3 linked regions of the Ovis aries genome follow. The protein of the gene in region 2 binds, or shares a complex with, the protein of the main gene of each other region. Links are inferred from orthologs where the notes say so. Each region holds a gene or a part of one and is shown on either strand. Other genes may lie near its edges.

Region 1 (10,195 bases), about 210 Mb from region 2:
AGGACCCCTATGCCTCCTCAGGTGTCTTCTTGGCAGAGTATCAGGCCTTAAGCTAAACTATTGTGGGTCCGTTTCAGGCAGCTTCAGGGGAGGGCCCTGGGGGAAGGCTCTCTACCCAGGGCTCCTCGGTGCAGGTACCTGCCACAGCATGGGGGTCAGAGCAGAACTCCTGCAGGCTGCGGGGGTCTGAGGCCATGGTCTGCTTGAGACGCTTCAGCACCGATGCTCCAGCGGCCAGACGGAAGAGGCCCTGAGGGGCAAGAGGGGGCGAGTGGGAGTCACAGAGGGGTCAGGGTAGGGGCAGGACCCCCTGCCTAGGAGGCACTGGTCCACTCCCGGCCCAGGGGAAGGGGGCCTCGGGGGCCCCATGGGCTGGTGGGCAGAGCGAACACTACTGTGTCCATGGCTCCTCTCGACTCTCAAGGTCTAGGATTCTGAGCAAAACGAGAAGCCTGGGAGGAGCTGGGAAAATCATGAGAAGACTGGAGTCTGGACGGGAGTGGAGGAAAGACAAGAGGCCCCGCAGGACTGTCCTGAAGCCTAGGTCTGTCTCTGAAGCATGATCCACCTCCTAAAGGCCTGCCCTCAGGAAAGCAGCCGATGTGCTAGCAGGACCGAGGAGCGCAGGGTGGATGAGGGCAGCACGGGGCCGAGACTGACGTGGCTTCCCCGGCTTCTCCACCAACCTTCTCACCTGCCACTGGGCACGCCGACCCACTGGCCTCTGTCTACCTCTTGCAAAAATGGAAGGCTCCCTGCAAGGTTTATTGGGGTAATGCAATGGAGCAAGGTGTGCAAAGGGTTGATAGCACAGGGCCTGGTCCATGTGAGCATCACTAAGGGGGAGGTGGCATCAGTTCAACTGCAGGAGGCCATGCCTTCTCTTGGCACCTGGGCGCTAATGGTGGGATTACACCCCAGCACAGGCATGCGTGGGAGGGGTGGGACCAGATGAGGGGCCCGTGCTCCTTCCCCACCTGCCCCAGCGAGCCCCACCTCTTCCTTCATGCCCTCAGAGAGCAGCATCATGACGCAGGCCTCAATAGGCAGGGCAATGTCCCGGCCCAGCTCTCGCAGGTGGATTCCCAGAGGCACCCCATACACCCTGGAGAAGGGGGCGGCCGTCATCGAAGGGGAGGGGTCTGCAGGGACGAGACAGATCAGCGGCCCAGGGTCCTCCCACCTCTAAGCAGCCAGGTCAGGGGGCTTCCACCACCCTCCTGACCACCCACAGGACACATCCTGAAACCATCCCACACATCTCTCCAAACCACCCACCTCCACTGCCTCTACCCCAGCCTGGGCCTCCGTCACTTCCCTTCTGCCTCCTAACAGGTCTCCATCCTGCCCTTTAATTCTATTCTGCATGCAGCCGCCAGAGCAATCTCTCCATCACAAATCTCACTGAGCCCTCCCCTGGATAGAACTCATTCCGGGCTCCCCAGTGCCTTTCGGGATGGAGTGCAAGCTTCTTAACAGGCCCTGAGCAGGGTGGGGGACAGGGGTGGGGGTCAGGTCCCCACCTGTTTGGCTGTGGTTCTCCCTCAGCTCAGCCAGGGCCGTGTCCAGCGAGCTCAGAGACTTGCGATGGTAATCGGCCTGAATCTCCATGAGCTGTGGGGACAAGGGGGCACCCCCCACCCCGGGGGGCGGGGGGAAGTGAGGGAAGCTGAGTCTCCTCCAGGGGCCACAAACGCAGACCCTTCCCTCCCACCACCTTGCAGGGGATCTCAGTGGCCCCCGAGCTCCAGGTGGCTGGAGTCTGGTCTTGGACTCACGTGGATGAAGTAGTTGGCATAGGTGTCCTCCTTAGTGGCAAAGTGGTACAGGTCGGCCAAGTACTCGTCCTTGGGGACAAAGAGAGCAGGGCTTGTACCAGGGAGGCTGGGGCCTGCTGGGGAAGCTTGGAGCAGGTAGAGGTTTGCCCGAGTTGTATGGGAGGGTTGGAGTCCACTCTACTCTCGCTCTGCCAAGGTTTGCTCCTGGGCCAGCCCACGGGAACCCCTCCAAGCTCTTGAGGGGCTCTCCTGTTCCTCTCCTCTGTGTCCATATACCCTCACCACTCTCTCATTCACTCACCCTTCACTCATTCACTCAGCCAACACGCCAAGATTCTCCCCTCCTGCCCTCCTCCCTGTCCCCTCCTGCCCAGGTGTTATGGGTATGATACAGACAGAAGCAGCTACCAGGTAACGGCTGAGTACACAGACCCCAGAGCCTGGCAGCCCGGATTCAAATCCTGGCTCAGCTGCTTCCTAGCCACACGGCCTGTGCAGTGGGGACAGCGCCCACCCCACCACCCCCACCCCCAGGAAGCTGCCAGTGCCCCTCACCTTGCACTGCTCCACCTTCCTCTTCAGCTCCTCCTCCTCCTCCTTCAGCGTCTCTACCTTGTTGGCTGTGGTGGTGTGGCTGCCTGGGCCGCCGCCCAGGCCCTGACTGCTGCCGGAGTTCTTAGCTGCCTGACTCAGCCTGAGGATCATCCCAAGGTGGGATGGTCACTGTTCCCATGGCACATTCAGAGCTAAGTGCCCCCCATCGGCCCAACCCCATAGGATTCTGGGGGTTGATAGACGCAAATCCCAGGGCGGCACAGGTCTGGGGTCTCGGCTCGGCATGAGCAGTGCTTTGGGGCGCCCCCCTGGTGGCGGGCTCGGTGATCCTAGCCATCCACCTCCAGAGTGGAGGGTGGGCGCCCTCCAGGGTTCTTGGAGGGTTGTTGATGGCTCTCCCAGGTTTTGAAGTTACCTCCAGCTGGCACAAGCATGTGCAGAGAGGCCCCATCGCATGCACCATTACCATATGTCTTCCTAAGCCCCAGGTGTGTGCACAAAGAAACACACTATATCCCTAAGGACCTTGCAGCATCCTCCTAGTTGTGGGGGGGGTGGTCTCGAAGCTCTGCGGCCACATCCATGGGCTGACCTAGGCGTGAACCACCCCCCTAGAGGCTGTGGCTCCCACCTGCTCTTAAGCGTGTTCCAGTCAGACACCAGCTTCTGCAGGCTTTTCTTGTGCTTGAGGATGGCTGGCAGCTCCTCCTGGGGGCAGGCGTGGGTAGGAGGTGGGGGTGGGGGTTCAGCGGGCTGCAGAGGTGGGGGCTGGGGGAGCTGGGGGCAGAAGGTGTGTGTGGAGGGGTCACCTCGCTCAGCCGGTTGAGTGGTTGCAGTACGTCCCTCTCCAGGGTCATCTCAAACTCGGCCAGGATGCGGGCCAGCTGGTTCTGAATGGCACAGCTCATCTCCAAGGCCTTCCTGTGGACACAGCACCCAGTGGGCCCGGGCTCCCACAGCCCCTCACCCCCTCTCTGGAGAGACTGAGGGCCTCTTCCCTCCCTATCACCTCCTGTCTCTTTTTTAAAAATTCTTTTGATTATGTGCATGGCATGTGGGATCTTAGTTCTCAGACTAGGGATCGAACCTGCACTTCTTGCATGGGCAGTATGGAGTCTTAACCAGTGGACTATCAGGGAAGTCCCAACCTCCTATCTGTTCTGTCTCTCCTTCATCTTCACCGAGCCCAATGCCCTCCCAGGCCTGGCTGCCCTCACTGACCTCTGGACACTGTTCCCAGCCCGGGCCTTCTTCCCACCCAGGTCAGCCTTCCACAGTGGGTGCCCTCTCTGATCGGGACTCTCTCCCAGCCCAGATCCCTCCTCGGCATCTCCAGGTGAGGGCTGAAGGCCCTGTCCATGCTCACCCCATGCTGGAATCGGGGTCCAACTCCTTGAAACTCTCGGCCATCGTGGTGGACAGAGCCATGAGGGGAAGCTTCTTCTGCAGGGAGAAGCAGGGGTGGCCGTGAGTGTGAGTACACACGCATGCTTGCTGGGCTTCCCTCAACCCTTCCCCACCCTCCCAGCCCCCACTCCACCGGTCTGAGCACATGGCAAGTCTCTTGGTGGCAGAACCCCAACAAGGCCTTGGGCTTGGACACGAGCGGCAGGAACCCAGGAGGGCCACGGCGACAGGTGAGAGTAGAAGCGAGATAATGACAAGGCACAGTGGAGGTGGCATCTCCGCGTGACAATGCAGAGCCCCGGCCCACCTGAGGCCCCCTTGCCCCCTCCCAGAAGCCACTTGAATGGGTAAAAAGGAAAGACCAAGTCCCATCACTGAATGGAACACTAAGAACAGGGCGCAAGGAGCTTGCCTGAGGTCCGTGCACAGTTAGGGGAGACTGGGGAGCCAGGAAGACAGCCTTGGAGTAGACCCTTACCCCTGCCGCAGGGCCTCAGCTGACCTAGCTTCTGAGGAATTCGAAACCCTCCATGGCTCCCTATTGCTCTGGCCATACTGAATGGTTGTCTGATTATAAAACATGCCTCCCACGTCCCTAGCTAGTGTTGTGGAGAGCACCAGTTTAGATCAGGGAGACCAGAGTTCAAATTTCGGTTTTGCCACGTACTAGCTGTGTGACCTTGAACGAGTCCCTCTACCCCTCTATCTCCATTTCCTCCTGCAGACAGTGCTAATAAAGGCAGCCTCCTCCCACGGCTGTTGTCAGCGTTCAGTGAGGCAAGGCATAGACATATCTTAGCAACAGACTAGCCGTAATCAGTCCATAAATACTGGCTGCTGATTAATACTAGTGAGTAACACAAAATCCAGTTCAAATGCCGCTTCCTTCAGGAAGCCCTCACAGGCTGCGGAGTTGAGAGCACCTGCTCTGGGTGCTGACTGGACAGAGCCGTTCAGGTGGTCAGGGGCCTGGCTTTGGTGCAGAGGATTGGCGCTGAGGGGGCGGGGTCAAGAAGGGGAGGGGAAGAAATAGGACCTCATGAGTGAGGGGCCGGAAGAGCCTTGGGACACAGCAACCTCCACCCCCTTGGTGCCAGACTCAGACTAGCAGGGTGACCCCAGCCCCTACCTCACTGTCCCACTGGACCGAGATGTCCTGCCCAAGCCCCTCCTCCCTGGGACGCCCACTTACCACCCGTTTGTCCATGTCCGCCCCGCTCTGGCCCTGCAGACAGGCCTGCAGCCGTTTGTGGACATTGTGCGCTGCTCGCTTAGCTGGCTCCAGCCGCTGCTCCACCTGGGAGGGGGTCCGGGGGTTATAGATCATGGGGGGTTGTCATCCCCCGTGCCCCACTGCCCTCTTCTCCTCCAGAGCAGAAACTATCTTTCTCTCGCTCCTCCCGGGGATCCCATGGCCAACAGAGTGCGAATGACTCAACTCGGGGGCCCCCACTGGCATCCCCTCCTGGGCCTCTGCGGACAGCCTGTACGGACCTGCCCTGCCATCCGCTGCCGGCCCAGGCACGTACCTGCTGCAGGTCCTCACCCAGGAACTCTGCAGTCTCCGGGGTGCTGCAGTGGGGAGAGAGGTTCTGCTGAGTGGGCCCAAGTTAGGAAACCCCCTGCCTCCTCCTGCCCCCCTCCCCAATCAGGGCACCTGAACCCCTGTTCCTCCCAGTGCCCCTCCCAGTCAGGCCGCCCTGGGTGGCCCGCCCACTCGATCCCAGTCGGAACACATTCCGTGAGGGTGGGAATGGGATACTGGGCTTTTTCCTCCTCCACCCAGGGCTGTGTCCTGAGACAGGGCGGACGAAACTGAAGCGGTGACTGGAGGAGTCTCTCTTCTGCTGACCCAGGGAGAGGAGGGTTGGGCTGGCCCCAAGAACGGGAAGTGTGCAAGCTCAAACTCCCAAGCTGCTGGTCACACAGGACTCTGGACTGTGGTGGCCGGCAGGGGCCCAGGACATGGGTGGACACTGCGGCTCAGAGAAAGGTGGCCTGGCTGCCCACGCTTGCACAGGTGTCTGTGCGGGTCTTTGGACACCCAGACCCCTTCCCTGGGCCCAGTGGGTAAGAGGAGAGAAGGCAGGCTCTGGGAGCTCCCTATATTTCCGGCCTCCATCCCACCAGCCCAGAGGTTTGTGGACTTGGGGATGTTTCCACCTGAGGCTACGAAAAGCAGAAGCAAGACAGAGAAGCAGGAGGCCTCGGGGCTGGTGGTGGCAGGAAGAGGCGCAGGGCAGGACAAGGGCAAGCCCCTCCTTCCATCACTGCCTGCACCTGGTGTCTTCTGTTCCCCCTAGGTCTGGGTCCCTAAGCGACCATCACCTCCCCTAGGCAACCAGGGATGGTTAACATCCCCATTGTACAGAGGGGACAAGTGAGGTCAGGGAGGACCATCCACTCCAGGGCTCCTAGAGACAGCTAAGACCCAATATCCTTGATCCTCCACCCACCCTCCAATGAGAGCTGGGGGTTCCCCTGCCCCAAAGGCCAGGGCCTGCTCCTCCTGCCTTGGAGGTGGGGGTGGCCTTCGGGGGAAGGAGGAGAGGTGGCCAGTCATAAGGTGGCTGTCCAGCTGTCCTTGGCCTCCCCAGGGTCCTGCCAGGGTGAGGATGGGGCTGGGAGGAAAGAGTTGACACTCACCGTCCCAGGCTGCCCGTGTGGGCCAGCTGCCGCATGCGATGCAGCTGCCTCTTCATCATCTTGGGGGCAGGCTGGAGGCCGCGGGGTCACGGTGGGGGTCGAGGGCCCAGCAGCCCCCGGCCCAGCCTGCCTCGGCCTGCGGCGCCTCTCTCGCCCCGGATGGGTGGGCGGTGCTCCTCGCTTCCTGGGCCAGCCGCGCTCTGGCTGCGGCTCGCTCTCTCCTCCCCCGCTGGCGACTCCGCCCCCGGCCCCCAGGTCACTCCTCTCTCCCAAGTTTGTTTTCTCGCTCTTTTCGCGTCTTCCGGTCCCCTCCGGGCCCCTCGTTGTCCCCCGCCGGTCCCGGCGAGTGTGGGTCCGCCGGCCGTCCGGCGATTCACAGGTTGTGTGTGCGGCCCCTCCTCCCCTCTCCGCCCCGCCCAGCCCCGGTGGCGGGAAGCAGGTAAGCCCGTTCCAGCCGCCGCGCCTGCCCAGCTTGGCTTCCTGGGTTCCTGCCCCACCCACTGGCCTGCGGGGCCAAGGTATAAATAACCTCAGCACCCTCTTAAAGGAGACACAGGGTTCCATGCTTAGGAGTCAGATGCCAAGAACAGGTCCATCCAGGTTTCCCAAAAGGATGCTGTCCTGCCACTCATTTCCCCAAAGGACTCCCTGGCCACCTGGAGCCAAAGGTCAGCCTCCTCGCCCCTGCTGGAAGATGATTGGCTGGCCACTTTGGCGTCCTGGGGCACCTGGCTGCCGTGTGCCCTGGGACAAGGCCCTGGAACTCTGGCCTCACTGCCTCTAATGGCCTGTGGGTCAGCTGTCCCAACCCTGCCCACCTGGCAGAGTGGACGAGATACCCCTGCCTTCTCCTGTAGCACCCGTTTCTGCTGGCATCTCCCTTTTCATGGGGGTACTCACCTTCCTTCAGCCACGGCAGACGCTCTCCACCATCCTGCTCTCTTCCGGCCTCAACATGGAGTTTCCTCCATCTATGAAGTCCCTTCACTGGGAGGACTTCCTCAGTCCCTGCCCTAACTTCTTGTGAGGCAGTGATGTGGCTGATGCTCTGACCTCCCCAAACTCAGCAGTAGTTATTTCTTTGAGCCTCCACCCAAAACAGACTTGGACATACAGTAGATGCTCCATGCGTGCGTCACTTTTCAGTCGTGTCCCACTGTTTGTGACCCAATGGACTGTAGCCCACCAGCCTCCTCTGTCCATGGGGTTCTCCAGGCAAGAGTACTGGAGTGGGTTGCCATGGCCTTCTCCGGGGAGATGCTCCGTAACTGCTAGTAAACTCAAAATGAGAGCCTTTGGGCAACAGTAGGCTCTCTTTACTCTGAACCTCTGCACCCCTTGGGCATCAGGAGTTCCGAGGGTAGGGGGCGGGGGGCCTGAGGTAGAGTCCTGGTTCACTCACTGCTCTTTGCCTTGTTAGAGCTTCAGTTCACTTTGAGGGTTACTTGAGCACCTACTACTGTGTATGAGTGGGCAGACTGGGGACTTCTGAGAGTAGAGCCTCCGATTTGGACATCTTGACACATTCCCAGTGCCCAGCATGGGCCCTGGCACACAGTTGGGCATGCGTTGGGCATGCGTTGGGCACTGGCTGCCCCTCCACTCTTTAAAGGGAGAGCAGGCAGGCCCTAGCAGGGTGTGGAGGGGCTGCGAAGGGAAGCTGAATGCGGAATCCTGGCCGGAAGTTGAAAAGTTGTTGGATCAAAGGCTCAGGCCAGGATGAGGGGATCAATCCCAGGCTAGGTTTCCTTGCCCACTTCCCTTCTCCCAGCTGGAAGGCCCCCCAGGAGGGATTCTTGAGGAAGGCAGGGCTTGATGAATGCCTTGATGGAAAGAGACATCAGGGTCCAATGTAGACTTGGCTTCTTAAGATGTGGGGCTGCTCTTTGCAATGTCTGGGTTCTAGTTCTAGCCTCTCTACCTTCGCTACTGGACTTCATGGTGACTCAGTTTCCCCTGTCTCTGCAGTTGTCGCAACCAGCTGTGTGAAGAATCAGGAAACGGAAGACTCCCGAGGCAGCAACGTGACACCAGGTGCCACTGTCCTGGCATATGGGAAACTTCCAGGTCCCCACCCTGTTCCAGCCTTGCCTTTGGCCCAGACCATACTGGCCTGGACTTGATCACTTCCCCAGCTGTTCTGAAGGGACTTGAGGGCAAGTCCTGGCTTGTACCTCTGTCCTTCCCAGTTTTGCCTGAGTCTGAGCCCCCAGCTCCAGCTTAAGGAGGGTTCAGTCCATGTGGACTGTAGCAGCAGCTGCTGTGGAGACAACTGGGCCACATGATCAGGCCATCTGAACTCTGGGCCTCCCCTCTGGGCTTCAGACTTCCCTCCAGCCAAACCCAAGAGCTTTTGCAGGAAGGGCACCTGGCTCTTCTGTGTCCAGCCTGGGTGGCACTGCCATACCTTTTAGCTGGGTAAGGGGTGTATTTTAGGATATAATTAAGCCTGAGCACACTCAGATCATCAACAATCATATAAAGGTTTGAAGCCCTTGTAGGTGGAGCATAAGCTGTTCCTTTGAAGGATGTTGTCATCAGAGACTTTCAGACACAGAGGTTTCAATCAGTGAATGTTGAGATCATAGTTTTAGAACTGCATATGTGGGACTGCAGAGGTCACCAGGCAATGACTTGCTCAGTGTCCTCCTGACGAGGGCCTGCGTGTTGTCTGGCTCATGCCGAATTCAGGGGCTGAACAACGTGCCACAGTCACAGGAGCTCAACAAACAGTTGACTTGAATGGCAAGTGAAGACATTGCATCAGAGGACATTTATCTCCAGCCCAGAGGCAGCAGGAACAGAGTTCACTGGTATAGACAGAGCTGACTAGCTGGGCTCAGCCTCTCACTAGCAGGGTGACCTGAACTGAGGCAGTTCACCTTCCTGAGCCTTTGCTCACTTGAGAATAATAGTTGCATCTACCTGATAGGGTGTTGTGTTAAATAAATTGATATGTAAAATGCTTAAGACCGTGCCTGACTTTATTATTCAGCCTGCAGAGTCAGGAACGGAAAGATCGTTTAACCCCCATTCCTGCCTCAGTTGCCCCCTTGCCCTCTGTATCCTGCTACAGGGGGACAATGGCACTTATTGTCAGATACTCTAGCACCTTCTCCAGTGAGGTTGGGATCATGGGGTTTTATAGGTGAGTAGACCCAGGCTCCTGGCCCACGTCCCTGGGCGGCTAAATGGTAGAAGCCAAGTTAGGAAGCAAATCCGACAGGCTCCAAAACAGCCACGTGCTCTCTTGCTGCGCCAGATGGCACTGCCTGGAGACTCCAGAAATGCTGGTCCCTGCCGGCCCCCGCCTCCCGCCTTAATCCCCGTGGCTGCTTCAGGAGGCCCAGCAGCTTCAGTGCAGATTGTCTGCAAAAACCTGCAACGGCATGGGAAGCGCCCACTGCTGAAGCTCCAGCAGGATGTGGGCAGGGAGGCCAGCGGCTGGCGTCAAGGTGGTGGTAGCAGGGGTCAGCGGTGGGGCCGCAGAACCGAGCAAAAACATCCCCTTTTAGACACTTGACAAAGTGTTTGTGGCCGGATTGGTGCTGCCGTCCATGTGGAGGCTTCTGCCCGAAGCAGCTAGGCGGGTGGCAGTCATTTCTGTGGCTCCAAAAACGTCCTCAAGCCAAAAGGACTTCCCAGGAAATCCTGGGTGGAGCTGGGGCAGGGACACACCACAGTCCCTACAGCCCTGGAGAGCATGTGTCCTCAACCCTGGCCCTGGGGGACAGCACCTGCCGGGGGGTGAGGAGGGTGGTGATGTGCAGTCAGTGTGGTCACTTCCCAGGACTGCTGGTCACACTTGG
Region 2 (9,988 bases):
TTTAAGTGGACCTTAGGAAGCATTACCACGAACAAAGCTAGTGGAGGTGATGGAATTCCAGCTGAGCTATTTCAGATCCTAAAAGAAGATGCTGTTAAAGTGCTGCACTCAATATGCCAACAAATTTGGAAAACTCAGCAATGGCCACAGAACTGGAAAAGGTCAGTTTTCATTCCAATCCCAAAGAAAGCCAATGCCAAAGAATGTTCCAACTATCACACAACTGTGCTCATCTCACATGCTAGCAAGGTAATGCTCAAAATCCTTCAAGCTAGGCTCCAGCAGTATGTGAACCAAGAACTTACAGATGTACAAGCTGAATTTAGAAAAAGGCACAGGAACCAGAGATCAAATTGCCAACATCCACGGGATCATAGAGAAAGCAAGGGAATTCCAGAAAAACATCTACTTCTACTTCATTGACTATGCTAAAGCCTTTGATTGTATGGATCACAACAAACTATGAAAATTCTTAAGAGATGAAAAAAACAACAAGAAATTCGTAGAGATGGGAACACCAGACCACATAAGCTGCTGTCTGAGAAACCTGTATGCAGGTCAAAAAGCAACAGTTAGAACCGGACATGGAACAAAGGACTGGTTCAAAACTGGGAAAGGTTTTGCTGTATACTGTCACTCTGCTTATTTAAGTTATATGCAGAGTACATCATGTGAAATGCTGGGCTGGATGAATCACAAGCTGGAATCAAGACTGCCAAGAGAAGTAGCAACAACCTCAGATATGCAAATAAAACCACTCTAATGACAGAAAGTGATGAGGAACTAAAGAGCCTCTTGATGAGGGTGAAAAAGGAGAGTGAAAAAGCTTGCTTCAAACTCAACATTAAAAAATCAAAGATCATGGCATCTAGTCCCATTACTTCATGAAAAATAGATGGGAAAAAAGTAGAAACAGTGGCAGGTTTTATTTTCTTGGGCTCCAAAATCACTGCAGATGGTGATTGCAGCCATGGAATGAAAAGATGCTTGCTCCTTGGAAGAAAAGCTATGAGAAACCTAGACAGCATATTAAAAAGCAGAGACATCACTTGGTTGACAAGGGTCCATATAGTCAAAACTACGGTTTTTCCAGTAGTCATGTATGGATGTGAGAGTTGGACCAGTAAGAAGGCTGAATGCCAAAGAATTGAAGTTTTTGAATTGTGATGCTAGAGAAGACTCTTGAGAGTCCCTTGGACAGGAAGGAGATCAAACTAGTTAATCCTAAAGGAAATCAACCCTAAATATTCATTGGAAGGACTGATGCTAAAGCTGAAGCTCCAATACTTTGGCCACCTGATGTCAAGAGCTGACTCACTGGAAAGAAAACCCTGATGCTGGCAAAGATTGAGGGCAGGAGCAAAAGGAGGCAACAGAGGATGAGATGGTTGGATGGCATCACTGACTCAATGGACATGAGTTTGGGCAAGCTCCGGGAGATGGTAAAAGGCAAGGAAGCCTGCTATGCTGCAGGCCATGGGGTCACAAAGAGTCAAACACCATTTAGCGACTGAACAATGAACACAACCCCACCAACTAGAATGTAAGTTTGAGGAGGGCAGGGAGGTGCTTTTACCCACTAATGTATCACCAATGACTAAAACACATGGTGTGAGCTCAATAAATATTTGCTGAGAAAAGAAGGACACATTAAAGTAAACAAGTTTACTAGAGAATGCTTTCAATCCTGTTTTACCAACTTTCACAAAAGTGAATTTTTAGTCAAGACACTGAAATTTGGAAGGAACAGAAGGTCCATGAAACAATACCATGGTTTCCTTCCCCCCGTTGCCTGTACATATGGCTAGCCCTTTGACCTGAATAATCTTAGCAAAAAGCTGCCAGCTGCCCATTCCATTCAGGTTCATCACCACCACCACACCACACAACATTATTCTGGGCTTCCAGATTCATGTCTGGTCCAATACTGTATGTAATGGCTGCAAGTTTTTTAATCCAAACTATATGGATATTAGCCAACTCTAGAAAGATCAGCCTGTGAGAGATCAAGAACCATTTGCTCCCCTGGGAAAAGTATACCCAAAGTCTAAAGAAATTCACTTGTCTTCAGTTAAAACATGATCTAGGCAATTTCTTTCATTAAACAATATTTATCACAAAGAATTGACTATTTGGTTGAGATGTCATCAATTTGTTCTTTAGACCCTCCTAATTTGGGTATTACAAAATAGAACAAATTTGTTGTATGAAGTCTGAAACATCACAAATGCAAAGTAAAAAGTGAAAGTTTTCTGCTATTCCACCTAACTCCCAATTCCCTAGAGATTAACAATTATGTCAGTCTAAATGCTTCTATACTTTTTTCTGTACATGAACAAATAAATAGCTAATTTTTGTTTTACAAAAATGGGGCCACACCATGCAGACTGATCCCCCAATTGCTTTTTTCCACTTATCATTACACCGACAGCTTTCCGTGTTGGCATTTACAGTATGCTGGCAATAAACATCCTTATGTGATTTCGTATTTCTGTTTGTTTGCTCACTCCCCTACATGACTTCTTGATAGACTTTCTATAGCAATAGTTTAAAAACTTTTATCTCATGACCTCTTTACACTCTTGAAAACTAAATAGAACCCGAGTGCTTTTATTTATATAGATTATCTCATCAATATTTACTATAGTATAAATTTAAACTGAAAATTTTAAATTATTCATTTGTTCACCTAAAAAAAAACATGTTTATTTTCACTGGGAAATGCCTTGTTTACCCCCATTTGTAGATAACTGTAGATACTGTTCTTTGAAGCTACACCAAACTCAGTAAGTGGTAGTTTCCTAAAGGCTAGTTTTGATACAGAATCTAAAACTCTTATCAATTAATATTTGTATTGTTACATTAAAATTCAATGGTCCATCTTGCCCCTCGAATGAATCTTTTTTACCTGTGCTTGACTTTATAACATCATGTGTTGTCATTTACAAAATATCAGTTCACTGAATCATGCAGGCCTTCCAAATAATGTATTCCATTATAAGATACCAAAATAGTGTGTTTATAAATATTATCACCAATCTCTACTTCACAGGAGCAGATACAAGTTTTCCAAAACCCTAATTGTTGCTGGAAAGCAAAGATGTTTTCATTGACAACAGACACCACCAGCTGTTCTCCTTGAAACACTTTTTAATACATTTTAAAAATCTGAATAACCACAGTTTGTCAGTAAAAATGGTAGTCTATGAAAAAGCAGCAAGTTCGGCTTGAACTAACCACTGCCCAAAGCTCTTCCTAGAGACAAACAGCACACAGAAGTACTTTCCAGTTCCTTCAGTGAAGATTACAAAGATGTATACATAATACTTGAGAACTGATAAAATTAATACTTCTTGCTCTTTCATCAGGAACATCCTTAAGTGAAAACCAAAAAATATACGTATGTATGTATTTTTACTAGTTTACTATGAGTGCGTGGCATGAAGAACACAATGGCTGCTATGGTTAGTTGCCACAACCTTGATTCATGCTTAGAAGCTGCATTACTTTTGCACCATTACTGCGAAAATTGCAAATAATGTCTTGTGTGAGTGCATGCTAAGGTCAGCTCAGTCATATCCAACTCTCTGTGACCCCATGGACTGTAGCCCACCAGGCTCCTCTGTCCATGGTATTCTCCAGGCAAGAATACTTGAATGGGTTGCCATTTCCTTCTCCAGGAGACTTTCCTGACCCAGGGATAGAACCCTCAACTCCTGCATTGCTGGTGCACTCTTTATTGCTCAGCCACCGGGGAAGCCCAACATCTTAGAATTGTGTTTTTGTGAAAAGCTTTCACCTCTGGACCCTCTGAAGGGGTGAAAGGCACACCAAGGGCACTACACTATTCCATGCTAGGACAGCTTCCTAGAAGTGAGATTACTGGGTCACTGCTATGTACATCTTAAATTCAGATATGATTGGTCAAAGCTCTCCAAAATGTCTGTACCAGTTTTCACTGGGGGTGGCAGAGGATGAGATGGCTGGATGGCACTACTGGCTCAGTGGACATAAATATGAACAAACTCCGGGAGGCAGTGAAGCACAGGGAAGCCTTGCAAGCTGCAGTCTATGGAGAAAGTCGGACGTGACTCAGAGACTGAACAATTTTCACTACCTAAGGTTGCACGATCATCACTGGTTGAAATGCAAATAATTCACTTACAAATCTTGATCGTGGGAAGTACCATAATACGCTATTTACCTGTCTAAAACCAATGCTAAAATACAACTCGTGTTTCAAGGCAAAAGTAAAATCCAAGTACCCAGATTATTTAGAAAATCAAACCTCAACTGTCAAATACAAGTTCACTGAATAGAAAACTTTGTTTATTGCAGTCACAGGTTGTTAAGGGTATTTGTGACTGAATTTCAAAGTATATGCTACTTGCACACGTCTTCCATTTGCTTACAGAGGGTGGGTGGGCTTGACTGATACTTAAATAAGTACTAGGTCTGAAAAATGTCAGGCTGTGACAGTACAAACAGGATACTAATTAATTGGTGCGTGGCTGGCCCCTGGCACAGACATCGGTCTAAGCTGATCCTTAGCGTTAAAATTTCACGCAGAATTACTGGACGTGACCAGAATAATATGTACTGTCAGCACTCAAATGCCAGTGGTGTTCATAAAAATGTCAAAGACAACCTTTCTTGCCCCAAGAAAGGAGGAAAAAGCTCCATTCTGAGGATAGGACTACTCCCCGTCTCAGGTGAAACCACTGAAAGCTGGGGCTCCTCAGTTCACAAGGAATGTGGCCTCCCTTCAGCTGTTTCCACACAGCTCCAAAGTGAGGATTTTCAAGTTCTACTTATGACTGAAAAGATCAAGGTTATTAGTGTCAACTAGGGCCTGTGGTTTTCAGCTCTGGCGAGTGCACAAACCCCTTTGAGGATAAGATTGAAAGCTCCCCACAGATAAAGCAGTGAAGGATCCATGTACCTCAGAGGAAGGAAGAGCCCAGGCCGTAGGTCAGAGCAGAATCATGGACTATGGATCCTGAGAAATCCCCTAAGTCCAACCTTCTCAGGAAGCTGGAATAGTAAAATGGCTTGTCCAAGGTCAACGGTGAATTAGATAGGGAATCAGGCAAGAAATAAGCAGTAAGACTTCGAATAAAGCCATCCAGTGTCATCAAGTAACTTTTTCTTATACAAAGAAAGTTCCACCGGAGATTAAAAGATACCTAGAGGAACTGAAGTTTTAAGTAGAACTGGAAGGAACCAACACAAGCCCTGTGGTTCCAAAGTTCCTTACGCATGGCAAAGCGGAAAATAGGACCAGAAATCTTGAAGAGCACTCACCGTGTTCCACAAACACATTGCAGTGTGGACCCCCGTGCCTCGATGATTCCTTCTTGCCTGCTCCTTTGATAAAGTGCAGGGCAGGCAGACTTGGCCTCCTTTGGTCCCCAAGAACTTTTCCAGGCTGCTGCCCCATAAAGCAAGGATAGGCACCCCTTTCCAGAAGAGGGTTCAAGATCTTTCAGAATGATCAGTGAGCTGAGAAGGAAACGGTCTTTACGTGGGATTTCACATTCACCGCATCTCCACCAGTCAGTAACTGAGGTCAATCACAAGACATCTTCCACAATAAAAGGAAGTGAAGATTTTAGGTTGACGTGTGCAAACAGGAGTTCCGATTATATTCGCAGTTTATCAACTCGAAGTAATGTAACTGCAGTGCGACCTCAAAGTTCCTGGATTTCAAGTGTCTTTTACTGGCTAAGTTTCCTCCCTTTCAAGGAGAAAAACCTAAAGAGAAATATTCACAGGGGATGCTGTACAACGGTCAGTGAGGCTAAAGTCGTGTCGATTTCCACACATCGAGGAAACGTGGATCGGTCTTTGAATGCTCCTCCAGAACTTTTCCTGGGGAAGTCACCCACCCCCTATCTTGGTGTCTCCATCTTCCAACAAATTTCCTGCCACACTAGCTGCCGCTCCTGCTTTTTCTCTACTCTGCTCTCCGGAAAAGGACACGGGTCACCCCGACTTCAGCGGGAGCTGGCCCTCTGACGAGAAGGAATGCATGGCCAGCAACTTTTTAAGTCCGCTTTTTAAAAGGCCTGTGAAACCAGTCCAGGCTTTTCCTCTGCATTAAAGTTTCTGGCTGGGCTGAGGCTGAGGGGGCCGTAGGTGACATTGGAAGAAGTCAGGGCATTACAGGCTCACGGGAGCAACGTTGGGGGGCTGGGGAGGGGAGGCCACTTGACAGCAGGGAAGGGATTTGAATGAGGGGGGCGCTCCGAGGCCAAACTTGAGGCCGGGATTCGGAGTTAAGGGGCGGCTCGGGGGTAAAGAGGGAGGCTGCCGGGGCGGGGGGCACGGGCGGCTTACTCCGGGGGCGACGCTCCTCCAAGCCTCAGGAAACGGGGTGTCCCCAGGTCTGGGGAAAGAGACCACAACCCCAGGGTCCCAGAGCCGGGATGGAGCTGATACGGGACGACGGGCTCTCGCGGCCCCGAAGGCGGGTAGAGGATAGAACCGGGAGGAGGCCCGGCGGCCTCAGCTGCCCCGAGCCTGGGGGGGGAGTCTCTGTCCGAGACACCCCCCTCCCCCGGGCCCGGACGTGGCTAGGGCCGCCGCTGCCAGGCAGTCACATCCCCCGGGCTCCGTCGCAAGACCCGGCCTCCCCGCCCAAGTAGGGGCCGTGGACAACGCAAGGCGGGCTCCTCAGCTGCAGGACCCAGGAACCGGTTCCGGCTCCGGCGCTGCTCAGGGACGGTCACCGACCCCCGCGGCCGCCATGATGGATTACTAGCCGCTCCACAACGAGGCCAGGCCCCGCCCCGGCCCCGCCTCCCGATGACGTCCGGTGCGCGCTTCGCGTGGGGACCGGGACCCTCCAGACACCGCTTTCGGAGACGCTGCGGCTTCTTTCGGCTCTGGTCCCCCTGCCCTGCAGGGCCTGGCCCCGTACGATCTGTTAAATGTGGTTCTCTAGAGGGGCAAGAGGAGTGGTAAGGAAGCTCCCGCCTCCCCTGCACTGCCATTGGTCCCCGAGAATCCGGGTCAGCTCCCTCTCCTGCATCCCATTGGCCGACGGGGCTAGAGCTCCCAGCCAACCACTTTCGGCGTAGCCCGTGGGGCAGGCCGGGATTTGTGGTCCTACGGCGCCCCCGCCCCCGCCCGCGCTCGCCCGAGCCTGGCCTTTTGCTCCCGGCTCCTGAGCGTCGGTCCCGCCCTCCTGGGAGCCGGTGGACTCTAGCCGGCCTCGCACGGTGCTGGCCAATGTCTCCCTGAGCGGGTTGGTAAGGCCGGCGAGGAACCAAAGCAAGGGGAAAACTGCGGATTGGATTTCCCCAAAACCGGAGTTGGATCGCTTCTTTGAGCTTCTTTAGGAGAGAGAATTTAGTTCGCTCCAGGAAACCGACGTTATTTGGTGCCTCCACTGCCGCCCCTCACCCCGAACTTCCACCTTGACTCCAAGCAGCATAAATATTAGAACGAGCGAAAAATAAACAACTGGAGAGCATCGACATATTGCTAACGAATTGTTTCTTTGGAGTATCAGGGAGCCCACTCATTAATAGCATTTTAAGAACCTTTCGGAGGCATCGCATAAACATAGGTGTTTGAGTGAGAAAGAATCTTTAAACTGTCCACTGATGTATGTCAACTTCTCAAGAAAACTGGAGGTGGGGGGGAACAGCAGAAAAAGATTACAATATCTAATTTCAGGGGTGTACACATAGTCACATGAAAACATGTTAGCCGAAACTGCTGAGTTTACAGAACTAGCTAATGACCCGTGCAACCGGATCCACACATGCCATAACCCATTTTTATGCAACTAAAATGTACCCTCCTGGTCCCCTTCTTCACTCTCCAAGTCTCCCCAGAGCAATGCACCTGCCAGGATATACCCATCTCTAAGGGAATCCACTCATCACACCTAATCTACACTATGGTCTTCCGCTCTTCATAAACCATATTCTCATTTAATCCTTACTGTATTGTAGCCCAGTAACACAAGTAATGTTATCCCCTGTATACAGATGAGAAAACCAAGATGTGAGTTACTCAAGGTCACTGGCCTAGTCATGTGACAATTTGAGCCCAGATTGATACTACTCCAAAGCCTTGAATTTTCTCTTGTACCATTCAATATCAAGTAACTGTTGATCTAATGTTAGTTGATATTTTAGAAATTGCTACTGATAGTAGGGGAAAACCAGTAGCATTATAGGTGTTGCATGCTCAGTTGTGTATTTTAGAAATATTTCTGCTGGATTGGGAAATGGTGCTGATTTTATAGATACTGGCTTGTAAACATAGAGTTCCCTGGAGTTACTGAATGTGAAGCGAATTCAGAAGCAGAATTTAGATGTTAACTGGGTTAGCTTTGCTCTGTCACTGAGTAGTCTGGCTGATGAACGTCATCCTGGCTTATAGATCAGTCTTCAAGCATCAACGCCCTGTTCCCTCTATTTACCCATCATCTTATCTTTACCATCACCCTTTCTCTTTGAAGATTTCACTTTTTATTCCTTTTCACGCTTTCATCATTTCCTACGCATCTTCATTCTTCACTCTCTAGCTTAAAATTGACCAATCAAATCAGAACTCTAACCCACACTTCTTGAACTAATAAATCATTCATAAGCATTATTCAGCCCGTGTGCCAAGCACTGTCCTAGGTGCTGGGATACAAATGAAGCGCAGGGGTGGAAGGACTCATCCTTGTCTCCCACAGCAGACATGGGAGGGACAGGCAGTGTACAAAATGAGTAACAATCCAAAGTGTAGGTCTCAATGCTGGAAATGACATTTCTGGACCCCATATCCTTTCACTATCAGTCCAACCCCTTCTCTCAAGGGTTGCTTTATGATTCATCCAAAGAACTTAAGCCTACTGATCCATAGTTGCTAATGAGCTTTAATGAAGTCACTTTAATTATCTGAATGGCTTTCATTTATAAACGAGTCATATCAAACTTTACAAGGTTATCATGAGAATCAAATAGGACTTTATTTCCCATAAATATTGAGACTAACTATGCTTTAGAGGCCAGCAGCACTTGATTTAAAGGTTTATCCCTCCTCACAATTTACTTCCTGCTATTTTCTAGTTTTAGGTGAACCCCCAAGCCAGACTATAATATTTTTTTCCAGAGATGCACTGTGTAACACTGTAGAATGATATTCTTAAGGACTTAAAACTAGAATCCAGAGCCCAGCAAATGCCTGACAGAAGTAAATAAATGTTGCCAAATTTGAATAAATCCCTTTAAGCTCATATATTCCACTAAGAATGACGTAGTTCAGCCTAATTTTGTGCTCACGCTTATAAAGCAAAGCAACCTACACAGTGCTAGAGGAATTCAGAACCGGTGTAAAAACTTCAGCTTTATTTAAAAAAAAAAACAAAAAAACTTACTGAAATTATGCTTAACAAGGGCACCCTCTAGTGGGCCACAAGAAAAGTACCACTTAGTAGGTAATCACTATTCAGGATATACTGAGTGAACATTACAGGCTGGCAGCTTGGCAGACCAAGTGAGAAGGGCAAACATTCAACAAACCCACTTATAGCCCTGATCAAAACCAACCCAAACCAGGCATGCAGGCTCCCCTCCTTCCCCATTCCCTTCCCTTCAGGGACATACAACCTAGAACATGATCTCAAAAACAGGGAGCAAACCTACATTTGCAACATAGCCTGGGCAACACTCAGTTGACTGCAAACTCCTCAAAACAGGAGACAGACTGAATATTATAAAGACGTACAATTTAACAAAAAAGAGCTGAGCTATGTTTCAAAACTGTCATATGCTCCAAATCACTACTGAAACTGTCCTAGGGTTAAATTGTACTAGGTGTTCTGGGTTTAAATTTAAGGGCCTCTGTCAGAAGAATTTCTGTCTCCCAAGTCATCCTTCACCTGTATTTAACTCCCAAGTATTACACAGAATACAAGAACAGAAACAGTGATGCCACATACATAAATTAAAAAAAAAAAAACCAAACAGCTCACCAAATAGCA
Region 3 (9,539 bases), on a different chromosome or scaffold from region 2:
TAAGTTCCCCATCTTCTTGATGAGAGGTACACAGAACAGGTACATTTTAGCTCAACTTAAGGAATTTTCTAAGAACTAGTACAGTCAACAGGACCAGAGGTTCCCAAACTGAAGAGTCAGAGGCACTGCAGCAAATTCTGAGGGGTCCCACCAAGTATTTTGTATTTTTGAGGGAAACAGCAATACCTGATGTCTGTTATGCCATGTGAACTACTAACTCAAAACAGTTAACAATTTTGATATCAGATTACACTACATCCCTTTCAAAGATGTCATGTCTTTGCAAAGCTGGGCTTTGGCAGTTGCTATGATAAAAATCAAGTACGTTATGAAAAAACAGGTGTGGAACAGGAAATGAAGGTGGCAATGTTCCATATGATCCCAAGGTTTGAGAAACTTTGCTATTTAATGGGGGGTTAAGTAACTGAAACTATTTTATTAAAATGAAAATATTATTTTCTTTCAATTATGTTTATTATTTTTTCAAGTGGGTATGAAGTTATTACATATATAGCCAAGACCTGTCATGCAGTTCTTACACTTCCTAATCTCATTTTTTCTCTCTGGAACAAAGGGGAAATTAAGATCTTCACTTCACTTTTCCATATATAGGTCAAAAGGCCTAAATAACTTAAGGTTTCAGAGCTCTACATGGGGAGATGTAGAGTTAATATGGTCACTGCTGCATATAATCAGGGACCCATGGAACTTTACGTCTTCCCTATCTGCTACCAGAAGAACAGGTTCACACCTAAGTCCACCTGAAAAGCTCCTTGGTTACTCAGAAGTCTTATCTATCAAAGGCAAGAGGCCAGGCTGAATCAGAAAATGGAAGTTACATGATAGTACATTCCAAGATAATGTGATTGATCTGGACAGTCTACAGAGGCATGAAATAAACTTTAACACCTGCAATTTACAAGATAAGATTCATCACTATTCCAGCTCCCAAGGAGCCATGACTCATGAAACCAAAACCAATCAAACAGAAATCTCAGATCAAATCTAAGACCAAAAAAGTAAATGGTGCCTCTGCACTGTTCTAGTGCTACTTCCAGTGTGTCTCCTTCAAAATACATTTGTTTAAAATCTGTCTTTATTAGAAGCTCCAGGATGGAACAGATGGTGTCCTCCTGGTTCAGTTACATTCCCCCAGAGTTACAGTGAACCAAGGAATACCCTTACTTTGGTTGTTTGCTAGAATTAATGCCTTCTTTCCAACAACCTTCATTCCTACTAGAGAAATCTGATGGGTGGGAAAAGAGGAAGTAGTCATTGACTTATATTCTACTGGAGGACTCTGGTCACAGAAAATATACCATGCAGGAAACATCCATCTGTAAGGGGAGGACAGGTGGATCCTGAACATACTCTTTAAGTACAGAAACCCTTCCTTCAAAAAAAAAAAACCTTAGAGAGACACCGATATATAACAGTAAAAACAAAGCTGCTTTGACTGAGAGAGGTAACCCAGAGCGTTGCATCCTCAGCTACCTTCTGGGAAATACTAGGAGTCTGAACCCTTATTATACCTGGGGTTCTGTCCACTTCTAAAATGCAATGATTTCAACATCAATTTCAAGGTAACCGTAAAACTTCACTGAAATGTGCCTAGTTTGTCTACAGATCTAAACCTATAATGGGTCGACTACAGCAATGAACTTTTTTCTCATCTGAATGCGAAGGTCAGAAAGTCAGAGCTTCCTAACCTTATCTCCTGGCTTCGTCTCCACAGGGACTAGGCATCAGCTCCTATGGAAAACCAGAAATAGGAAAGGAACGCTGTCTCCCGGCACGGAGACCACACGCAAGGACATGCTGCCAGTTACACCACACAAAACTGACGGGAGGGCAGCATCACCACTACGAAAGAGAAAGTGCCCCAGATGCGATCTGGGCGTGGCTGAAAAGGCCACTGTAGATCTGGACTCCTCATATCTCCAACTAGTTTAAACAACCCATTCGATCCATCTCTTATTTTTTTTCAATAAATGAATAGGGGTATCTAAGGTCTTTTCTAGCTTTAGATTTCTGTGATGCTAAACTTACATGATGTTTTCTTAAGTACATAAGGTGTTTTTAAAGTTATTATTTGGGGTACTTGTTCTAACGTGAAAGAGGCTATCATCATCAGTCAACACATGTGGCTCCAAACTAATACCCAACCAAAAAAGGAAACTTAGTGACATCATAAAGCACTCTTCTACTTTAGTCTTTATTTCACAAGATTTAGGTTTCACAGTAGGAGACCAGCTCAACCATTTTGGAGCACTAAAGCCTCTAATTAAGGCAAGCATCGTTGGGGCAAACAATTCTGGGAATTCCCTGATGGTCCAGTGGTTAGGACTCAGCATTTTCACTGCCGTGGGCCCAGGTTCAATCCCTGGTTAGGAAACTGCTGCTGCTGCTGCTGCTAAGTCAGTCATGTCCGACCCCGTGAGACCCCACAGACGGCAGCCCACCAGGCTCTCCTGTCCCTGGGACTCTCAAGGCAAGAACACTGGAGTGGGTTGCCATTTCCTTCTCCAATGCATGAAAGTGAAAAGTAAAAGTGAAGTCACTCAGTCGTGTTGACTCTTAGATCCTGGAAACTGCTCAGTGAGGTCAAAACCAAACCAAACCAAACCAATTTTCTTTGAGAAAGGAATTGCAAATGGAAGCAAAATTAATGTGGTAACTATTCTCTCCTGGGTGCTAGCTAGCTATTCCCACACTCCAGCCCGGCTAACAGGGCCTGCAATAAGCGTCCAGAGTCACAGCTGTCACGGGCACAGCACCAGCTTGGCTGCTGCCGTCGTATGAACTTAAATGAAAACATGAAGCTAGAAACTTGTTTTCCTTATCCTCCAAATTCTAAGTGGGAAAAAGTAGTGTGACCTAGACAACATATAATTCCTTTCTCATCAAAAGCAGGACACAATACTTTTCAGTCACAACATGATCTCAAAATATACACATTTTAAAAGCACACATTTTTTTCAGTCAAACCTGTAGACCTAATCCTTCTTTGCACCCAACTCTTCAGAATGCAAATGAAAAATTTTAAATCCAGTAATATCAGACTACTTCAAATAAATTTCAGCTTACTGTACAGCCTTTTACTTAGGCAACTCCCACTCCTCACTGTATAAGCATGATCCAAAGGATTTTAGAGATTTCCATTTACAAAAATATATTAATACTTTAGCCCCTTCTCTGCTAACCTGCACCCCTGAGTAACTTCAGCCTATGCTCATGAAATTTAGCTACTTGCTTAAAGTTATCGTATCTGAAAGGCTCTGAAAGACAGGAAAGCATGCCACTTCTAGCTTTTATGCTGAACCACTATCTCTGCATAACTCAGAAAGACAGGGAGGGAAGGAGGGAAGAAGAGAGGAGGTAAGAAACAAAGCTGTGAGCACTAAAGACGAGAATAAACAACGTGATGGCTGGCCAGAGATGGGCTACCGAGGACAACTATTCACCAGTAAAGGTGAAAATTTACTCCTCAGGAGGAACTGGTTTCTCGAGGATAAAATGCAGCAAACAACAAAGACCAAGTAAACCTGCTGCTTCTTGGAACTGACGCTTTTGAGTATCTATCTCATTATACCTATACAATTAGTCATGGTAAGAAGCCCCAAGCCCCCTAAAGTAAAAACACATTTCTATAAGAAAATTCATTTAAGTATTTTGATAGAGACCACTTATACTCAAATTTGTGGAGCCCACTTATTTTAGATAACGATAAACAGAAAGAAACAGGTTAGAATGTAGATGAAAAAAAATATTTTAGGTTAATTCCTGTGAATTCAGGTAGTGTTATTAAAGAAGTCAAAGTATGGTTTAGTAAATCAATCAGAACATTCAGTTATACAGTTTTAAGCTCACTCATTCCAAAATAGGTTTTCTATAAAAAAGAGAAAACCCAACATTAAGTGCCAAGATCAGTACTTAATGGTAAAAGTACCATTCAACATCTATAACAATGTTACAATGCTGCTGCTTATATTCAGCATTCCTACAAAGCTCTAAGAGGTCTGAAAGGGAGACCCTGTAGCAGATCTCTTCTTTCTACATTTTGCACATTATGTACCTCCAAAGCCAAGGCTGTCTTGTCGTAGGCATTAGGGACTCGCTTCTGGATTACCCTGGCATAAATGGGCCCATTCTGGAGGTTAGGGAGCGGAGTGTTGACGCTGGGTTGGGCATAGGGCCCAGGCTCCGGCCCACCCAGTGGCTGTGGGTGGGAACCCTCCTGGTTACCTCCAATCAGAGCCGATACTGAGGCGGAGGCAGGTCTATACTTCTCCACGTAAGGGACTGGAATCATCCCTCTCTTGCCTTCGCTGTCCTCCGCATTCCACCACTGCTCTTCAGGCTTATCCCGGATTCTCAGGATGTCTCCTTTCTTAAAGGGAAGATCTTCTTCATCATTCCCATTAAAGTCAAAGAGGGCTCGTACATACTCTGCCTCTTCCTGCCTGATAATCACTCCACTACCCTGCCTGGATCTGGAAACTGGTTCTATCAACGTTGTAGTGTCCAAATAGTGTATTTTGTAGAATTCCAGTAAAGCAGGCAATGAATCAAATTCTTGATCTCCTATTCGGAGTCTGGAGGGACTCACCCCTAAAAAAAAAACAGAGCAGGGTATTATTGAAAGATATACTGGAGATGAAATGCAGATTTTAAGCATCTCCCCGTACATATTTACTCAATATTTAACCAGAAAGAAAGAGAAGGAAAAAAATCATCTAAATAACCCCTTCTCCTAACAGTAAACTAAAATCATACTTTGTAGCTCAAATGCTCCCTGGGAAGAAGGTGAGCGATCACTACCTGCAGCAGAGAAGAGACAGAGGCTGTGAGAGAGCAACCACGCCCGTCATGACAAGCTCACATATCGGACCAAAGACAGAACACTATGGAAACCTCTTGTTCATTCTCCCAAAACGTTCCGTGGCTATTCCATTTGCAGAGTACAAGGGTTCAAGGCTGTGTTAGTCTTCTTTTTCTTTTCAACCTCAGGAAATGTAGCAACCTCTCAGTTTTCATAGGTCCCAGCAGCTATCCCAACGAGGTGGGATATTTTATTCTCAATTTTTCACTATGCAAACAATGCTCTTATGAGTGCTTTTATTAATGAACATTTTTTATTACCTCCTTAGGATAAACGTCTTAAAATGCAACTGCTGGATCAAAGGGTAAGAACACCAAGATTTATGTTGCCTGTCGTCCAAAAAGTTTTATGATTTCACACTCACACCAGTGGATTATGAGTTCCCATTTCCCCCATGTCCTTGCCAGAACAGCAGGGGTGTCTCTTCTTAAATATCATCTTTGATTGTTTGATGTTTTTCACATTTATTGAATATTTGTACTTGTTTTGTGAAAATTACTTGTTCGAGTTCTTTGTTAAAGAGAGGGCCTAAACTACCCTCACCACTCCTATTAAAACCAGTCAGTCAAAACAAAAACCTAGCCAATCCATCTAAAAACCCTTTGCTGTTAACGCTGCGAAACAGGAACACTGCGGTAGCCCAGCTGTCTAAATTGCTTCGCCACTCTAAAAAATGAGACCAAATTATTTCGTTCCGTGTTAGACAACACTCTGTCCAGATAGACCAGAAAAAGTACATTTAAAATCCTCTAGTGGGGAGAGGTGAAGTGATAAACTTTGGAGGTTAACCAAAAGTCCTCAATACAGAATGTATACTCATGAGTGACTTCTCTTTCCACCCATATGAAACAAAGGCCGAGACACAATGTAGAGGACAGATGCACATTTCTTACATTGCAAAAGTCCATCTGTGGAATTCATGGCTATAAACTAAAACGAGTTAATAGCCCACAGTCAGTAATGTTGGCTGTCTCTCTGACTCAAGATGTTGAAATACATGCTCATACCCAGGATTGTCCATCTATGGCAAACACTCCTCAGACACCAGCAGAATGCAACCCCAATAGCTCCAAGTGCAGAACTGGTGACTGGAGAGAGGATTTTGGTTATGACCATACCAGAGCACAGTGGTGCTACATTCTGGAGTTTCTCTTCTCTAAAGCTCAAAACTGATGGGTAATAATTCCTACTCCAGCCTGGTAAACAAGGAAGACGCATGGCTACCTCATCTATCACCTCTAGGCTACAGTGATCCTTCAGGCCTGTGGAACTATGTGAAGGACAGAGTCAGTGTGAGCTCCAAGAAGACCGACTTTGTACTGCCTGGTCAAGAAAGCCTTAAGGGCAGAGTGGTAGGGAGAACCTTCGAGAACCTGGCTTAGAGAATTGTCCTGGTGACACCTAGGAATAAAAGTTCCCTTCCTAGAATTTACCCAACAATACGCCAAGGTACAAATGCCAATATGGCTTTCACTAGTCACCCTTTAGGGACCGTGTTCATTAATAATGAACATAACTCTCAAGTGAGGAAAAGTTACATGAAAATCTGTCCCCAGGTTTGAGAAACTCACAGCACAGCTGCGCATACAAATGCAAACACAGTGTGGCTGGTGAGCAAGGAGCACAGCAGCGTGTTTCAGGAAGACTTCTTCTCCCCTGGCATTCACTCCCAATTGGGGATGTACTCTACAAAAATCAGTGGCAACAACAAGCTATGTTTTAAGATAGAACAAAATTACTATAAAAGAATAGCTCCTTCCATTCCTGAATGGTTCGTTCTTTCCTTCTTTCGTTTTGCCACATTGGGAAACTTGCGAGATCTCAGTTCTCTGACAAGGAATTGAACCAAGATCCCAGCAGCAAATGCCTGGAGTCCTAACCACTGAACCACCAAGAACTCCCTCTTTTCCTATTCTAATGATGTTACAATTATTCCATAGAGAAATACCTGTTTTTGTGTGCCGCTGCAGCAGTTACATGTTATATATATATATGGGGCAATCAAGCTTCAGGAGAGGAGGGGGAACAAAATACATATACGTAAGTTCCAGATAAGCCCAAACCTCACCACAGCTATGTGCTCCGGCTCCTTTTCCCTAGTTCATCTCTTTCCAACCACAAACAGCTAAAGCCAGGAAATAGAAGGGCGGGAAAGGAAGGAGACAGTCAGTCAGTTTAGAGAACAGAACCAACAGCAGAGTTCTCCGAGCTGGGACTTGGAAAACCTCACTGACTTGTTCTCCATCAAACCTGTGCTGGATTCTAAATGTGCAGTTATGAACATAGTCAGCAATCAGAATCAAGGCAGTCAGAGCTATCTTTTAACCAACAGAGCTGTACACGCTCAACTCATCACTTCCAAGCATGTCCGCCCTCAGGTTACAACAGTTTTTACAATCCCCTGAGAGTTTTATGAAGAACACCCAAGAGCTCTGGGGGCTAAACAGGCCAAGGCACTTCTGGCATGGGCATCGCCACAGTGGCTCCATTATCAGTCTCTTAACCTCACACTTCCTCTCCTTTCCTCTTTCCTAGATTCTCATTCCCTCTCTTCTTTCTCCACTGCCTATGGTATTCATAGAGATTCCTTCAAAGCTCTTACCATCTGTTCACTACAAAAGACTAACAAGGCCACTGACTTCATTTGAGAAAGTATCCTGAAAAAGCTCTAAAAATGGTGGATATCCGCATGTGACTTTGCAGATTCAGACTTATAAAGTTTGAAGAATTCAGGCTGTGGTATTTCTAGCTATCTGAATTGTTATTTAACTTTTGACAGGGATCTACATAATAATAATTTCTATCTAATAATAGTAAGTTCCTAAAAGTAGATGGTATATTATAGATGCCCAATAAAAGGCCAATCAGCTTAATTATACACCCCCCCCAAACCTCTGAACACCTCTGTAAATTTTCAATTCTTCCCAAAGAAGATTCCATAGAATCTCAAGATGCTTCTCAAAAAGTTCTGTGGTCAGACTGGTTTGAAAAAACCACTGTCCAATACCTGCCTGTCTAGAGTCATAATTTCACATGAACATAGGGAAGGCTTAGAGAAGTCTGGCGATAAATAAACGCACTTTCTTTTACTACAGATTTTTTTGTGGGGGCAGGGTCTAAAATCTTTTAAGTAACTCACTAAAGAACTCCTCATAGAACCACTGAATATCTTTAACTCATTAAAGAGTAAATCATGAGGACCAGGTTTGAGAACTACAAGGATGAGCCAAACAAATGAAATAAATGCTGGATGTTCAAAAAGGCAGTAGTGGATAAGAGGCAGTCCCCTAGGATCTCCAGAAGTGGCCTGGCCCAGCACCACCTTGAAGAGGCAGCACAATCATCACCCTAGCATCTGCCTCCACTCCCAAAATGAGACAAGTTTCTATGTTCCCCTCACCCACTAGGGCCAACAAGTAGGAGGTTCTGGGCTGAGCAGGCAATGGAAGCCATCGTCTTGTTTCCACACACTGGCTCCAAGGCTCCTTCATACTGCCTGATGCACCCCCACCCAGCACTTACTCCTTCAGACATGCTGTGAGCCTCTCAAAGCTGAGAATTGTTTTCCATTCTGCTTCAGTTTTTCCCTCTCCACCACATCTGTTAATATACCTAATGGTAGTTCCATTCCTAAGCATTTAATATACTAAAACTCATTTAACCCTTGAAATAACCCTGTCAGTACTAATTCCCCTCTTTCACTGATGAGGAAACTGAGGCAGAGAGAAGTTAAAGAACTTGCCTATGGTTATATGAGCAGTAAGCAGAAGATAAGGAAGGTTCAACGGAGAAGGCAATGGCACCCCACTCTAGTACTCTTGCCTGGAAAATCCCACGGATGGAGGAGCCTGGTAGGCTGTAGTCCATGGGGTCGCTAGGAGTTGGACACGACTAAGCAACTTCCCTTTCACTTTTATGCCTTGGAGAAGGAAATGGCAACCCACTCCAGTTTTCTTGCCTGGAGAATCCCAGGGACGGAGGAGCCTGGTGGGCTTCCATCTATGGGGTTACGCAGACTCGGACACAACTGAAGTGACTTAGCAGCAGCAAGGAAGATTCAAACCCAGACTTCAGAACACAAGCTTTGAACTATTCTCCCAACTCATATTTACTGTTTTATCGACTGTTTATTGGACAAGGTCTAGTAAAACCTCATGTTCAAGAGGTAAAAACTAGTGGATCAATCAAGGATTGCAAAGTCTTCCCAAGAGGTACCCCTGACAGAGTGTGACCAGTAGACTTGATCAAGCCCTGCCCTATGGCCCTGGGGCACAGTCAGGGGACTTCAGGCAACGGCAGCACTGGCAGCCTGTGGGAGCTAAACCCAAGGTAAAACAAGCTGACTGGAAAAAGTGGAGAGTATCTGGTCTATTGTGTTCATATACCTCTAAAATGTATATCTGAGCCATTCTGTACAAATTCATCCTATGCATTATGCCCACAAAATACATTATATAATCCTAAACAAAAAGCTCAGTTACCATATTTAATCTGGCAGATAAGGTTACTAAAAACCTCTTCATCACTGACTCTAGATAGCAGCTGCATACTGCCTGAGCGCTGAAGCCAGTCTCCTGTCACCCTTTCCTTTGGTCTTTATCTAGGCCATGCCACGCGGCATGCAGGATCTCAGTTCCCCAACCAGGGATCAAATCCA

The links.
Region 1: the proteins of ABL1 (region 2) and SH3BP1 are in contact, whole or in part, in a crystal structure (PDB 1ABO), measured with the Mus musculus proteins. The link is inferred for Ovis aries from reciprocal best matches to the Homo sapiens genes ABL1 and SH3BP1. Residues at the interface, in NP_033724.2 of Mus musculus: Tyr70, Phe72, Ser75, Gly76, Asp77, Thr79, Asn94, Glu98, Trp99, Trp110, Pro112, Asn114, Tyr115; in NP_001303613.1 of Mus musculus: Ala607, Pro608, Thr609, Met610, Pro611, Pro612, Pro613, Leu614, Pro615, Pro616.
Region 3: the proteins of ABL1 (region 2) and CRK are in contact, whole or in part, in an NMR structure (PDB 1JU5), measured with the Homo sapiens proteins. The link is inferred for Ovis aries from reciprocal best matches to the Homo sapiens genes ABL1 and CRK. Residues at the interface, in NP_005148.2 of Homo sapiens: Tyr70, Phe72, Asp77, Asn78, Thr79, Asn94, His95, Asn96, Gly97, Glu98, Trp99, Trp110, Pro112, Ser113, Asn114, Tyr115; in NP_058431.2 of Homo sapiens: Pro44, Asp46, Asn63, Gly66, Pro67, Arg68, Pro69, Pro70, Val71, Pro72, Pro73, Ser74, Pro75, Pro80, Gly81, Ser83, Pro84, Ser85.

Annotation. Positions count from the first base shown.
Region 1 is NC_056056.1:215,310,950-215,321,144, reverse strand, and holds the start of SH3BP1 (SH3 domain-binding protein 1), read right to left. Parts: upstream 6,446-10,195; coding exon 6,387-6,445; intron 5,313-6,386; coding exon 5,270-5,312; intron 5,038-5,269; coding exon 4,933-5,037; intron 3,777-4,932; coding exon 3,700-3,776; intron 3,255-3,699; coding exon 3,143-3,254; intron 3,042-3,142; coding exon 2,965-3,041; intron 2,473-2,964; coding exon 2,334-2,472; intron 1,848-2,333; coding exon 1,779-1,847; intron 1,615-1,778; coding exon 1,524-1,614; intron 1,143-1,523; coding exon 997-1,142; intron 251-996; coding exon 139-250; intron 1-138. Other genes in the region: uncharacterized protein LOC105609488, read left to right, coding at 6,425-6,825, 8,355-8,610. UniProt on the Homo sapiens protein: GTPase activating protein (GAP) which specifically converts GTP-bound Rho-type GTPases including RAC1 and CDC42 in their inactive GDP-bound form.
Region 2 is NC_056056.1:5,917,361-5,927,348, forward strand, and holds the start of ABL1 (tyrosine-protein kinase ABL1), read right to left. Parts: upstream 6,776-9,988; 5' UTR 6,146-6,775; coding exon of another isoform or gene 6,047-6,145; 5' UTR 5,441-6,046; coding exon 5,305-5,440; intron 1-5,304. Other genes in the region: umcharacterized LOC128092248 homolog, read right to left, coding at 6,047-6,145. UniProt on the Homo sapiens protein: Non-receptor tyrosine-protein kinase that plays a role in many key processes linked to cell growth and survival such as cytoskeleton remodeling in response to extracellular stimuli, cell motility and adhesion, receptor endocytosis, autophagy, DNA damage response and apoptosis.
Region 3 is NC_056064.1:22,468,203-22,477,741, forward strand, and holds part of CRK (adapter molecule crk), read right to left. Parts: intron 4,612-9,539; coding exon 4,076-4,611; intron 2,396-4,075; exon of another isoform or gene 2,323-2,395; intron 1-2,322. UniProt on the Homo sapiens protein: Involved in cell branching and adhesion mediated by BCAR1-CRK-RAPGEF1 signaling and activation of RAP1.